Caenorhabditis elegans: one gene and its partner. The protein of the gene in region 1 purifies or fractionates together with the protein of each later gene. This does not show direct contact. Each region holds a gene or a part of one and is shown on either strand. Other genes may lie near its edges.

What was found.
Region 2: the proteins of C14B9.3 (region 1) and fask-1 fractionate together in Caenorhabditis elegans (co-fractionation; one large-scale study listed by BioGRID). This does not show direct contact.

The regions. Positions count from the first base shown.
Region 1 is NC_003281.10:8,106,723-8,111,725, reverse strand, and holds C14B9.3 (uncharacterized protein), read right to left. Parts: upstream 2,937-5,003; coding exon 2,850-2,936; intron 2,792-2,849; coding exon 2,653-2,791; intron 2,311-2,652; coding exon 2,210-2,310; intron 2,135-2,209; exon of another isoform or gene 1,992-2,134; intron 1,967-1,991; coding exon 1,830-1,966; intron 1,784-1,829; coding exon 1,644-1,783; intron 1,471-1,643; coding exon 1,370-1,470; intron 960-1,369; coding exon 839-959; intron 791-838; coding exon 570-790; 3' UTR 513-569; downstream 1-512. Other genes in the region: gei-8 (Nuclear receptor corepressor 1), read left to right, coding at 1-109.
Region 2 is NC_003282.8:13,099,080-13,105,310, forward strand, and holds fask-1 (RAP domain-containing protein), read left to right. Parts: upstream 1-1,635; 5' UTR 1,636-1,636; coding exon 1,637-1,733; intron 1,734-2,170; coding exon 2,171-2,256; intron 2,257-2,302; coding exon 2,303-2,549; intron 2,550-3,145; coding exon 3,146-3,275; intron 3,276-3,326; coding exon 3,327-4,010; intron 4,011-4,766; coding exon 4,767-5,073; intron 5,074-5,127; coding exon 5,128-5,214; intron 5,215-5,262; coding exon 5,263-5,436; 3' UTR 5,437-5,548; downstream 5,549-6,231. Other genes in the region: tin-9.2 (Mitochondrial import inner membrane translocase subunit Tim10B), read left to right, coding at 44-158, 208-394, 445-451; exos-4.1 (Putative exosome complex component RRP41), read left to right, coding at 448-579, 636-1,046, 1,261-1,440.

The DNA of each region.
Region 1 (5,003 bases):
AGTCAAATATCCCTTAGTTGTTCAAGCTCAAAACGGGATTCAACCAATCAAAGATTACGGTCCACCATGCAAAAATCTTGTTTATGAAGACTTATCGGATGATGAATAGATGTTTCCTACCTCAATATTCAAATTTCCTTATACCATTTCATTGCTCCTATTTCTTTACTTAATCTCTTTCTTTCACTTAATCCATTTAAATTCCTCCCTTCAATGCTTTCCCTTTTTAACAAATACCCTTCAATAATTTACATTAAACTAGGGTTACTGTAGCGTACAAAGTACCGTATTATTTGTGTTCCATTCTCAATTGGGTTGAGTGGCACGTGTAAATAGTTACGAGTATCAATTTTCTTGTTTCTCCAACTGTCTCTCCTTCTCTTGAATATCATATGTGTTTGCGTGATTTCATTCAATTCTTTTTTGTCTTGACTGTTTCAATTGCTTTTTGTGAAATTATTTTTAAATATTTGGTTGTTTAATCGGTGATTCTTTTGTTTCTTTTTTTCTCATTCAACAAAAAACTGTATTCAAAATTAAATAAACATAATTGTAACTAATTCATCAATCTACAAGCTAAGAATCCTTCGTTGATTATATTCAAAAGCTCTGCAGTGTTCATATTTTGCTCCTTTTTTGAAATTAATTGGATCAATCGGTTCACACTCTCCACTGGACGATCGTGGGAAACAAATGAATGAAATGTTTCTAATATCGATTAGGAATGACAGATGAAACGTTGCATATGCAATAATAATGAAATATTCCATTAAAGCGAACAGTTGGGGCACTGAAATTAATTTGATTCAATTAAAAATAAGACAGAAAGAAAACTTACTATATGAATGACAAATTGGAAATGTGATAGAAGATTGATGATATTGCATATATTGTGGCATTAAATATACATAAATAACAACTGATATTAATTTCATGATCATTGATACAGTATCCCATTTCTGAAAAATTTAATTTGAAAGTTTGAATTAATATTAATTTTTATGGGGTTATTTTAGTAGTGTTCGAAAGTTTAAAAAAGTGTAGATTATTAGTGTATTTAGTATATAGTGTAGTGTAGATTGGAGATTTTATTCAAGCCACCAAAACATGTAATTTAATACATTTGTGACGTCATAAAGTGTATTTATTACTGTAGTACTTAGAGACGCATAACTTTTGTACGGATACGATGCGAAAAAATTTCGTGGTGAGACCTTTATTTTTGTTTTTGTGGATGATAAAATGTGAATTTCAAATTAAAACGTCAAAATTTAGCTTTCCTTTTGTAATCCTTTTAAATTTTTGAATCAGATTTCTGACTTCCAAATGCCAAATAAAAATGAAAATTGTCTTGTAATCAAAAACTCACACTTTCAGAATTCGACGAAAATGCAAACATAACCGTAGTGGTGGTCAGCATACTAACAACGGATGACATTGCAAATACAATTTTAAAGAAACGATTCGCTTCTGAAATTAAACGATATTTAGGTTAAGGGTCCTGTAACGAGTGGAACTTTTCAAATACAGTACCATTATTTGCTAATTTTTCTCGATTCAAAAAAGTTTTATTTCCTTTAAAAAACATCGTTATTCTGATAGAACATTTACTACAAAATGGATTTTTTAGCATCAGATTTTACCTGGAAAATCCTCATGTACAGTAACAATACTGAATAGGGACATCATGAAAGCTTCAACAAAAGTGAAAATTGGCATTGAATCCGCCATAACCTTATGTAATGATGAGAACTTTTTGTCGTACTCATGACGGAGAAGATTTCTGAAAAAGGCGTTGAGTTTGAAAAATACTTTAATTTTCCAATTACCTTATTGTAAGTGCATTGAATACTCTAATTACTATTGGTATACAGACTGCATATCGGAAAAGGACATTTCCTATCACGTTCAATTCAAAAAGATTAAGAATTGATGGAAGCCCATCTGCTGGAAATGGAATTGTTGTCTGAAAACAATTAATTGAAAATTTTCAAAAATATCTGCACGAAGTGGGATTCGAACCCACGCACCCATACGAGTACCAGAACACCCAGTTAACCTCGAACTTGAGGCAAGCAATGTACGCTTGAGTCTGGCGCCTTAGACCACTCGGCCATCCGTGCTTCGAGAGTAACAGCGGTCGAGAGCGTACACTTGTCACGGGTGTTGAAGGGGTGAGAGTCAAAGTAGGGGGAAAGGGGAGACTCACGTTACATCGAAAACGACTGCTGCCATATTCTATAACGTATCCTCGTATTAATTCTCGTTCATCAGGGATGTAGTCGGATTTTAGGGATGTGAAAATTCCTCCTGAAAATAAACAGCTAGCATTTTGTCTTTTTGTTTCTTTTTCAAAAAGTTGTTGCATGTAAATATTTCAACAAAACTCGAAGATTTTAAAGATTTATATTGTAGTTTTGCAAATTCTCTGTGCAATTATTCCCATGGTTAAACTGCAAAAGTACGTTATTCGGTTTCGATACGATCAAAACCTTTTCATTTAAGCCTGCGAAAAGAGTGTGTGCCTATAAGGGGTACAGTAACCCAAGCTATTGTTTGCTTCGCATTTTTCGTAGATTTAGTTTCTTTTGTTAGGTATAACCTAAAGTTCTAAACGAAATTTCTCAGAGATTCTTATTTATAATATCTTACCCACAAAACATCCCATTGAGATAACTGTAAATACAAGTGATGGTACAATAACTGGAAAATTCAAATACGCAATATCTGAATTATCATCTTCTGCATGTCCATACTTGAGCCTACGGTTGTCTTCTGTACTTCGAGGTACCTATAATTATATTTCTTATCCCTCAATTCATGAGACCTTTCTTCAAAGATTCACTTACCCGAATTGAGTTTTCATCTTTTCGATCTGCCGATTCGAATGCGTAGTTTGCATAGAAATCATCTGATGTCGACGCAACAACTGCCATCTTTAAATGAAATGTGTTCGTTTTTTGAACAAAAGTTGAACGAATACAGTGACACGAATAAGGGAGAATTGAATAGAAAAAACTTCATTTTTAGACCGTGACGATTTTCAAGAATTCGATGGAGAATTGCAAACAGTGATTGGAAAAAGTATTAGCGAATTTCACTCTAATAGGCGGAGTGTCGCCAGTGGGAGAAATTATTGAAAGCATTCATAATGACCAAATAATTTTAATTTTTTTTTTGAAAATCTTGTGTTTAAAAAATGGCGAGGCATAATTAATACTGAAAATGGGGTTAAAAACATATGTCCCCTACTATTGTGTTGTGTTGTAATTATTTGTATTTAGACATTCTAGGGGTTCAAGCCTGCACTCCACTTTTAATAGTTCTAAATATTATTTGGCATTAGGTAGACCGTCTTTTCAAAGGTCATAACTGAACGGCTAAATACAAAACGTAAAATTCCATATTATCGAGTAAATAGCTTGACAATCCTCAAGCAAAAATATCTAACCTTGAAAACCACAAGAACTTAATGTTTTCCCCGTGGAATGGACATTGAATGAAACAACAACTGATGAGAAACAGGTGAGATAGAGAGAGACTTCTTTTAGACTTTTTCTGTTAAAAGTGCGGAAGATAAGAAAAAGATAATGGATAGCTAATTGAAGTGATCGTTTAAATTAATTAAATTGAATTAATTGGCATGATCACTGAACCTTGAAAGTAAGTTGAAAGAAAGTAAGCATGCTCTTTTCAGAAGAAACATTCTCTGAGAAAAATTATGAAACTTCGTTAATGAAATTTTTGTAATTTTTGTTGTGGAAGACAGTTTGAAGCAGAATAATGCCGGAAATGTAATTTGTCAATTTTAAATCCATCTTAAAACAATTAAATAAATAAACTTAGATCAAAAAACATTTCAAAACATGAAAAGACCAAGATATGAACGGTGTTTATTTTTTAGAAAATTACATAATCGAGAAGATTGTGCAGATGTTTTTCAACGGTATTACCTTTATATAAGTTCTTAAAAGCAACGAGCACTGATAAGAAAATAAAAAATGACGGAACTTATAGTTAGGTAAACGTCCAAATAGACTCCTCCTTTTTCATGGTTTTTTGCATGTTCACAACAAATTTTCTAGTGTATTTAGAAATGATTCCAAAAGTTTTAAGGTAAACTCGCATAAGTGAAGATCAATTTTAATTTTGAAATGATTTTGTAAAGTACTTTCACAACAACTGAGACCAAACAGGTACTTGCGCCAAAAAGTGACCGCCAAGTCAGTTTTTTTGGACACTTTTTAGAAAGAGATCCAATAGAGAACAATGAAAATATGTAGAGATGATGAGACGTAGACAAAAGGTTAACAATAGAAGAAAAAAGAGAAGAATGATTCGAGAAATGAATATATCAGGTTATACAAGAAGACAAGAAAGCTAGCTGCTTATCATGCTTTGTTTCGAAATCGTAGTGTCCGGTCAATGTGATCACTTGGTTACCATCAGGGTATTATTTCTGAAATATATGAGCAAAGATTGAAGAATCTATTCTCAAAGTAACTAAAAGTTATCGGACTTCAAAACAAAACTCTGAAAACTTTTTGTTAGTCTAAATTAAGACAAGTCTGGAAGAAAACTGTCGTAATAAAATTTCTGTTGGTGTTTTATTGGGTAGTTAAAGATTATTTTAAAATTTTATTAGATGTAAAAATTATGTGGGGAGTAGTTTTCTTCCAATAATAAAATTCGTATTAATTTAATAAAACAAACATGTAGACACAAAGGGAGTTGTTATTCGCGCTTAGAAGAAAGCGACGACAAAAAGAAGACATGACTGTCAAGTCAGTAACCAGTAAATCTTATTATGTACATAGCAATGGGTATGTACTTGCAAACTGATGCATCGAAATGATACCAGCTTCACTTATAAAATAGTCAAAAGAGTTACACATTCGGTGTTCGGTCTCGGTTTAGCTTAAAATTGGAGAAGCAAGAAAAAGTGAAACCAAAAACTCATCTAGATAACATAGCATATTCCGATTGGGCAAAAAAGCACTTGC
Region 2 (6,231 bases), on another chromosome or scaffold:
AAAAGGAAAATCCTCTCCCGCGCATTTATGTCTTTAATTTCAGCTTCGTGAATTTCTAACCGTCTACAACACTCTCAGCGAACGTTGTTTCAACGCCTGCGCTCGTGACTACACCACATCAACACTCACAAAGGACGAAGGGTCCTGTGTCAGTCAATGTAAGATTTATTGTATTGTATAAACACGATTTTGTAATCAAAATTTCAGGTATTGACAAGCAGATGCTAGTGAACCGTCGGTTTATGCTAGTATTCGCAGAACAAGCACCAAAAGCACTTTTCAAGCAAGGAGAGCAATCGCCAACCGAAGCAATCAAATCCGCTAAGCCAGAGCCAGCGGTCCCAGCTCCAGAAGCCACTCCTGTTGAAACTACTCCAGTTATTGAAGAAAATAAGTGAGATTTTCCATAATTTCTTTTAAAAAATCACGAATAATCTTTTGCAGACAATGAACATCATCTCTGAACATGGTTTCCGTATTGACGGCCGCCGTCCCGCTCAGATTCGTAACATTAACACTCGTCTTGGCTTGAACAGAAATGCGGAGGGAAGCTGTTATCTGGAACATGGTAATACCAAGGTTGGTTTTTTTTTAAGTTTTGAATTTAATTTCAAGTTACATTATTCTCTTTTCAGGTTCTTTGTGCAGTTTATGGTCCGTATGAAGGCAAATCGTCAAAAAGAATCGAAGATAAATGTGCCATTGTTTGTCAGTATAGTGCAACAAAGTTTTCGGGACTTGAAAGAAAAAATCGTACACGTGGAGATCGAAAATCAACTGAAATCAGCAGACTTCTTGAGAAAGCATTCGAATCAGTTATTCTGACGGAAGCATTTCCTCGATCACAACTTGATATTTTCTGTGAAGTAATCCAAGGAGACGGCTCCAACCTGGCCGCCTGTGTCAATGCAACTTCTTTGGCTCTTGCTGATGCAGGAATCCCAATGAAAGGCATCGCATCTGCAGCGACGTGTGGTGTTGTCGATGGAAAACCAATTGTTGATCTTACTTCTAGAGAAGAAACTGATCTCCTTCCCAGAGTTACTGTATGTTTAGGCTGAAAAATTGTCTAATTTAATGAATTTTGTAATGAGACTTCTCAAAAATTGCCGTAATTTCAATATTCCGGGAACCGAAATCATATTTTGGTTGCTATTCTAAAAAAAAAAATGTCCAAAATTTTAAGTTATTTTCCGAAAAATCGGGAAAAAACACAAACTTTCGATTTTTCGTTAAAAAATAATTGCTTAAAATTTTCAGCTCGCCACAATCTGCGGTCGTGACGAAGTGATTCTCGTGGAACTTCAAAATCGTCTTCACATTGATCATCTTTCCACAGTCATGGATGCAGCGAAAGCCACGTGTGCTGACGTGTACGAATGTCTCGCAGTAGTTGCTCAGCAACATCTGAAAGCTTGTGCTCCGATTCTAGGCAATTAGCTGTTCTTTTTTTCTTATTCATTGTTGTTTTGAGTTGTTATTCCTTTTTTTTTAAACCCATTTTTTGCAGTCGATAAATCAGTTTTTTCAAATTTAATCTTAGAAATTTTGTAAAATTTTATATGTTTCCGTCTCATTTTCGTACTTTTCTTGTTCAAATCTTGATATTTTTTTAAAAAAATTGCAAATATCTAGAATGTGGAGCCGTGGATTACCCACGCTTTGCAGGACGATTCCGTGTCGTCAGTTTTCCGTCGCAGCTCAAAGTGGAGCTGGTCCTGCAGAAATTGATGGTAGGTGCAGATTTTTTTTGCTCTAAATGGCCAGAATTTTATTAAAATTGTCAAAAAAATTTCAAAAAATAGCTAATTTCCGCTAGAATCTCCAACTTGACCAACTTTAGAGCGGCCGGAAAATAATTTTAATTCGATTATTGTGCTACTTTGGTTTATTTTACGTTATTTCGTAAATTTAGGGTAATTTTAAGCAAATTTGGCTTTAAATGTACCAATTTTTACGAAAAAACATGTGATAAATGACCAAAATAAGACAAAAATTTAATAAAAGGGAAATTTGGCAAAATATTTGAAAAATTTTGCGAAATGTGAGATTTTAGCTAAAATCAAGTGTTTTTCGACATTTTTGAAGTTTCGCAATAAGCTTTTCGGGTTATTTTTAGTAAAAAAAAGTAGAATAATGCAAAAAACATCAAAAAATATTTGAATTCCAGATTTCCTCCATTCCATCGCCGCTGCTCCAACACAGAAGCTCGTGAAAAACAGAACTGTATTAGAAACTTCGACGGAATTTTTCAAGGTACTCAATAAGCTTAAGCTCCATTTAAATTGTTCAATTATTTAAGTGGCTCGAACAAAATCCCATAAAATCGATTGATCAATTCATCACAGCTGCACAAATGGCTATCACTGTGAAATCAACGGAACAAAATAAGGCGTTTTCGAAAATTGATGATATTGCGAAGAAAGTTCTGCCGAAATTCTATGAAAATTTTGGACCGAAGGAGACAGTGGATGCATTGCGATTTGTTTTGCAGCTGAATTCAAAGGGAAAAGTCTCGACGGATATTCAGAATTTGTTCCTTGAAAAAAGTATGATTTATCCAACAAAACTACTTATTTGAATATGATAATTCTACTTTTTTGATCTAAAATTGATTTTAAAAAATGTAGAAAAAGATTCGCTCCATCTGAAAATAATTTTTAGTTTTGTTGAAAATGAAAAATTGGAAATTTTGTTAGTTTTTTGATAATATAATGTTTAATTGACTTAAAAACACATTTTCATTTAAAAAAAATTCGGCAAAAATCGACGAAAATTAAGGAAACTCGTTGAAAACAGAAATCAGCATCTGATAAAGATTAAAATTCTCGTAAATCGACACATGGCTCGTCTCTGGCGCGAAAATTCGGCGTTTGAAAAATCTCATTTGGACGCAAGTGAAAGGAGAAAATTTGGAGTGATTCAAAAATATTTTTCTCAGATTTCGGTGCTCAACCTAAAGGTAGAGGTGAGGCCTAGTGGCCTTATTTAAATTTTTCAACAAAAAAAATTATTAATAATATTTTATCAGATGGAACGAATCCTTTTCATCAATTTTAGAAAAAAAAAAGTTGATTTTCAGTAGTATTGTGCGTTTTCCTAAACATTTTCCGAAAGATATTTCAAATAAAACGTAAAATTTCAGAAATAAGTCAATCCGATCTACAAACTGTTCCATTTGACACACTTGTGATGATCATTCGATATTCAAAATCTTCAATCGATCAAAATGTTATCGAATCTATTGCGACTTCATTGATTTCTAGAATCGAAAAGTAATTAAATAATTTAGATTTAAAAGCTCTATTTAATATCTAATTTTCCAGAGAACTGGCAAATCCTGCAGATCTCCTAGCAATTCTCGCCGGTGATGGATACGAAAAATCAAAATGGTTTCACAACGAAGCGTTCCTCAAAAAAGCCGAACGACTTGTAGCAGTAATGGGAATGGCTGAAAAATGTGCTCTTTTGAAGCATATGGCAGTGAATAAGCAAAGAAATCGACAGCTACTTGGAGCAATAATCAACGCGATTTCCAGTTCCAGTCAAGTTCTTACAGTATCACAAATTGTCAGTGTCACCGGCTCATGTTCTGCTCTCACCTATTATCCACCAAAAATTGCACGGAAAATCTCCAACGACCTCGAGAAAAATTCGAATGTTCTTGCTCAATGGGATGATGTGCTCAGCATTGCCGATTCATTTATTCGTATGAGAATGGGTGATCAAAAGTCATGGAATCTTCTTGTTCGATGGGCAATTGAAAATGTGAAGCAAGCACATCCGGCTCGATTGAGCAAATTTGTCTCCGGGCTCGCTAGAATTGGAGAACCATCTGGAAAACCGTTGGCAAAAGCGCTCAAACCATTTTTGGTGAAGGAAAAAGCTTCGACGCCCAACAATTGGCTGAATATCGTCTTTTCTCTTGCATATTTTCAAGAACTTGAAGCAGTTCATGCGGATTCGGTGCTCAATAAGAGTTTTGTAGATCAAATCATGAATTCAACAATGTAAGAAATTATTTGGAAATTGAAGAGGTGCAAACGCGCTCCAAATTAAAACACTCCGCAACTAAACGTTGGGTCTCGTTAGGTTTTCGGTTTTCCGATTTTTCCGAAAATTCAAAAATCAAAAATTTAGTTTTGCGACATTCCTAAACAAATTCGATTTTTTCGAAAATTGCTTAAAAATTTAGGATTTTTTTTTGAAGACAATGATTTTGATTTTTTTTCAAAATGAGCAAACAAATAAATTTTTATTATTAATTTTCGAAACATTTTCTAAAGATTTTTCGAAAACTCCGGAAAATCGATATGAATTTTATCTCAATTTCGACATTAAAATTATTAGAAAAAAAGTTTTTAAAAATTTTTTAAGTTAAAAGAAAAATATTTTTAAAAATCACAATATAAATTTAAAATGCTGGGAAACACGAAAAAAATGCCAATTTTTTTTTGCTTTTTCGGTTTTTGCTAGGGAAAACTAAAAATAGTCGATTTTGCAGAAACTCGAAAAAAATGCTGAAAATTTACCAAAAAATTCAAATTTTGTTTATGATGATGAAAAAACAACATATAATTTTTCCAAAAAAAGGCCAAAATGTGGTTTTTTTTCTCCAATTTTAGTTTTAAAAGTTGAAAAACTGACTTCCTTATTGTCAATACCTAACGAGACCCAAGGTTTAAGGGCGGAGTGTTTTCAAAAGGCATTTTTCTGCATCCCCATTTATAATATCAAAAATTGTCAATAATTTCCCAATTTTTCAGGGAAATTCACGATCGACTCCGAAAAGCGATGACTCTTCTAATGATCAGTTCAGCGGCTAAAGTTGATATGCAGGGAAAATACGAAGGACCAACAGTGAATAAGGAAACATTTGCTCGATTTGGAATCAATTTCGACGCGAAAACGATTCGGAACGCGAGGCAACTGAAATATTCGAGCAATCATTCAGAATGCGATCGATATTTTTTAAAGTCATTATTCAAACTTGCTCCACAAGATACTCATTGTCAACTTCCGAATGTTGAAGATTGTGGAGCTTTTGTCGATGCCTATGTTATGCCAGATCCGGTATATTATTTTCAATTAAAAAATATTTTTGAAAAAAAATGTTTTTTTTTTCAGAATTCCAACTTGCTAGTGAACACATCACAATGGGGCTCGAAAAAACCCAGGCCTCTATTTTTCTACGGATGGTTGCAAACTAAACAGGTAAGCATTTTCGAATCTCATAAAATCATATAAAATTCTAAATTTCAGAACACAGAAACGAGCGGCGAAATCAATACAGTTGGGCAAGAACAATTGGGACTTCGACTGATGCGTTCCGCTGGCTTCGATCCAGTAGTCGTCTTCAAAACGGAACTCGACTATTGCTCCACAGAAATTGATCAAGTGAATCTGCTACGGGATAAAATACATAAGAAGAATTAATTTTTTTGATAAAAGATTATATTTCTAGCGCCCCTAGTCTTTATTGTTTTGTTGTTATTCATTTTTATTCAATATTTTTTAGATTTGAGATTATAATAAAACAAATTTATAAAGGTTTCGATGAAATTTTAGAATTTTCTGTGAACTGTCTTTTGAACAGAATATGAATATTTTTGCGGGAATTTATTGTTTATTGATCAAATTTTATTTGTCTTTCCTGTTGGTTTTTTCTTCTATTTTTTCTTTTCTCTTGGGTGGCAATTTTCAGGTTTCAATTACAAATTTAAATAGTCTTATATTTAAGATCTTATCACGTGGTGTCAGAGTGTCTCATTTCGGTTTGATCTACATTGATCTACAAAAAATGCGGGAAAAGAGACGCAGAGTTCTCAACTTATTTTGGATGGTTAAGAACGTGCTGACGTCACTTTTTTTTCTGGCAAAAAATTCCCGCATTTTTTGTAGATCAAACCGTGATGGGACAGCCTGGCGTGATTATACGTGATTATATTTATACTTTTTTTTGTGACAATTTGATCTTGACCTCTGGAGGTCTCTACAAACGGTTTTGTCCACTTTCTAAAAGAAAAAACCGGGGAAAAACTAAAATTAAAAATTCACGCGCGTGACCCAATTTCGAGTGACATTCCGGCCCTGATCATTTCTTCTCTGATCATCTTTCTAAAATTCATTAAATTCATTAGTTTCTACATTTTAGTTCCTGAAAACTTGCTTCATTTCTTTTTCCAATCAACCAATAGGTCTCTTTTTTTTTAATTTTTCGATAATTTAAAT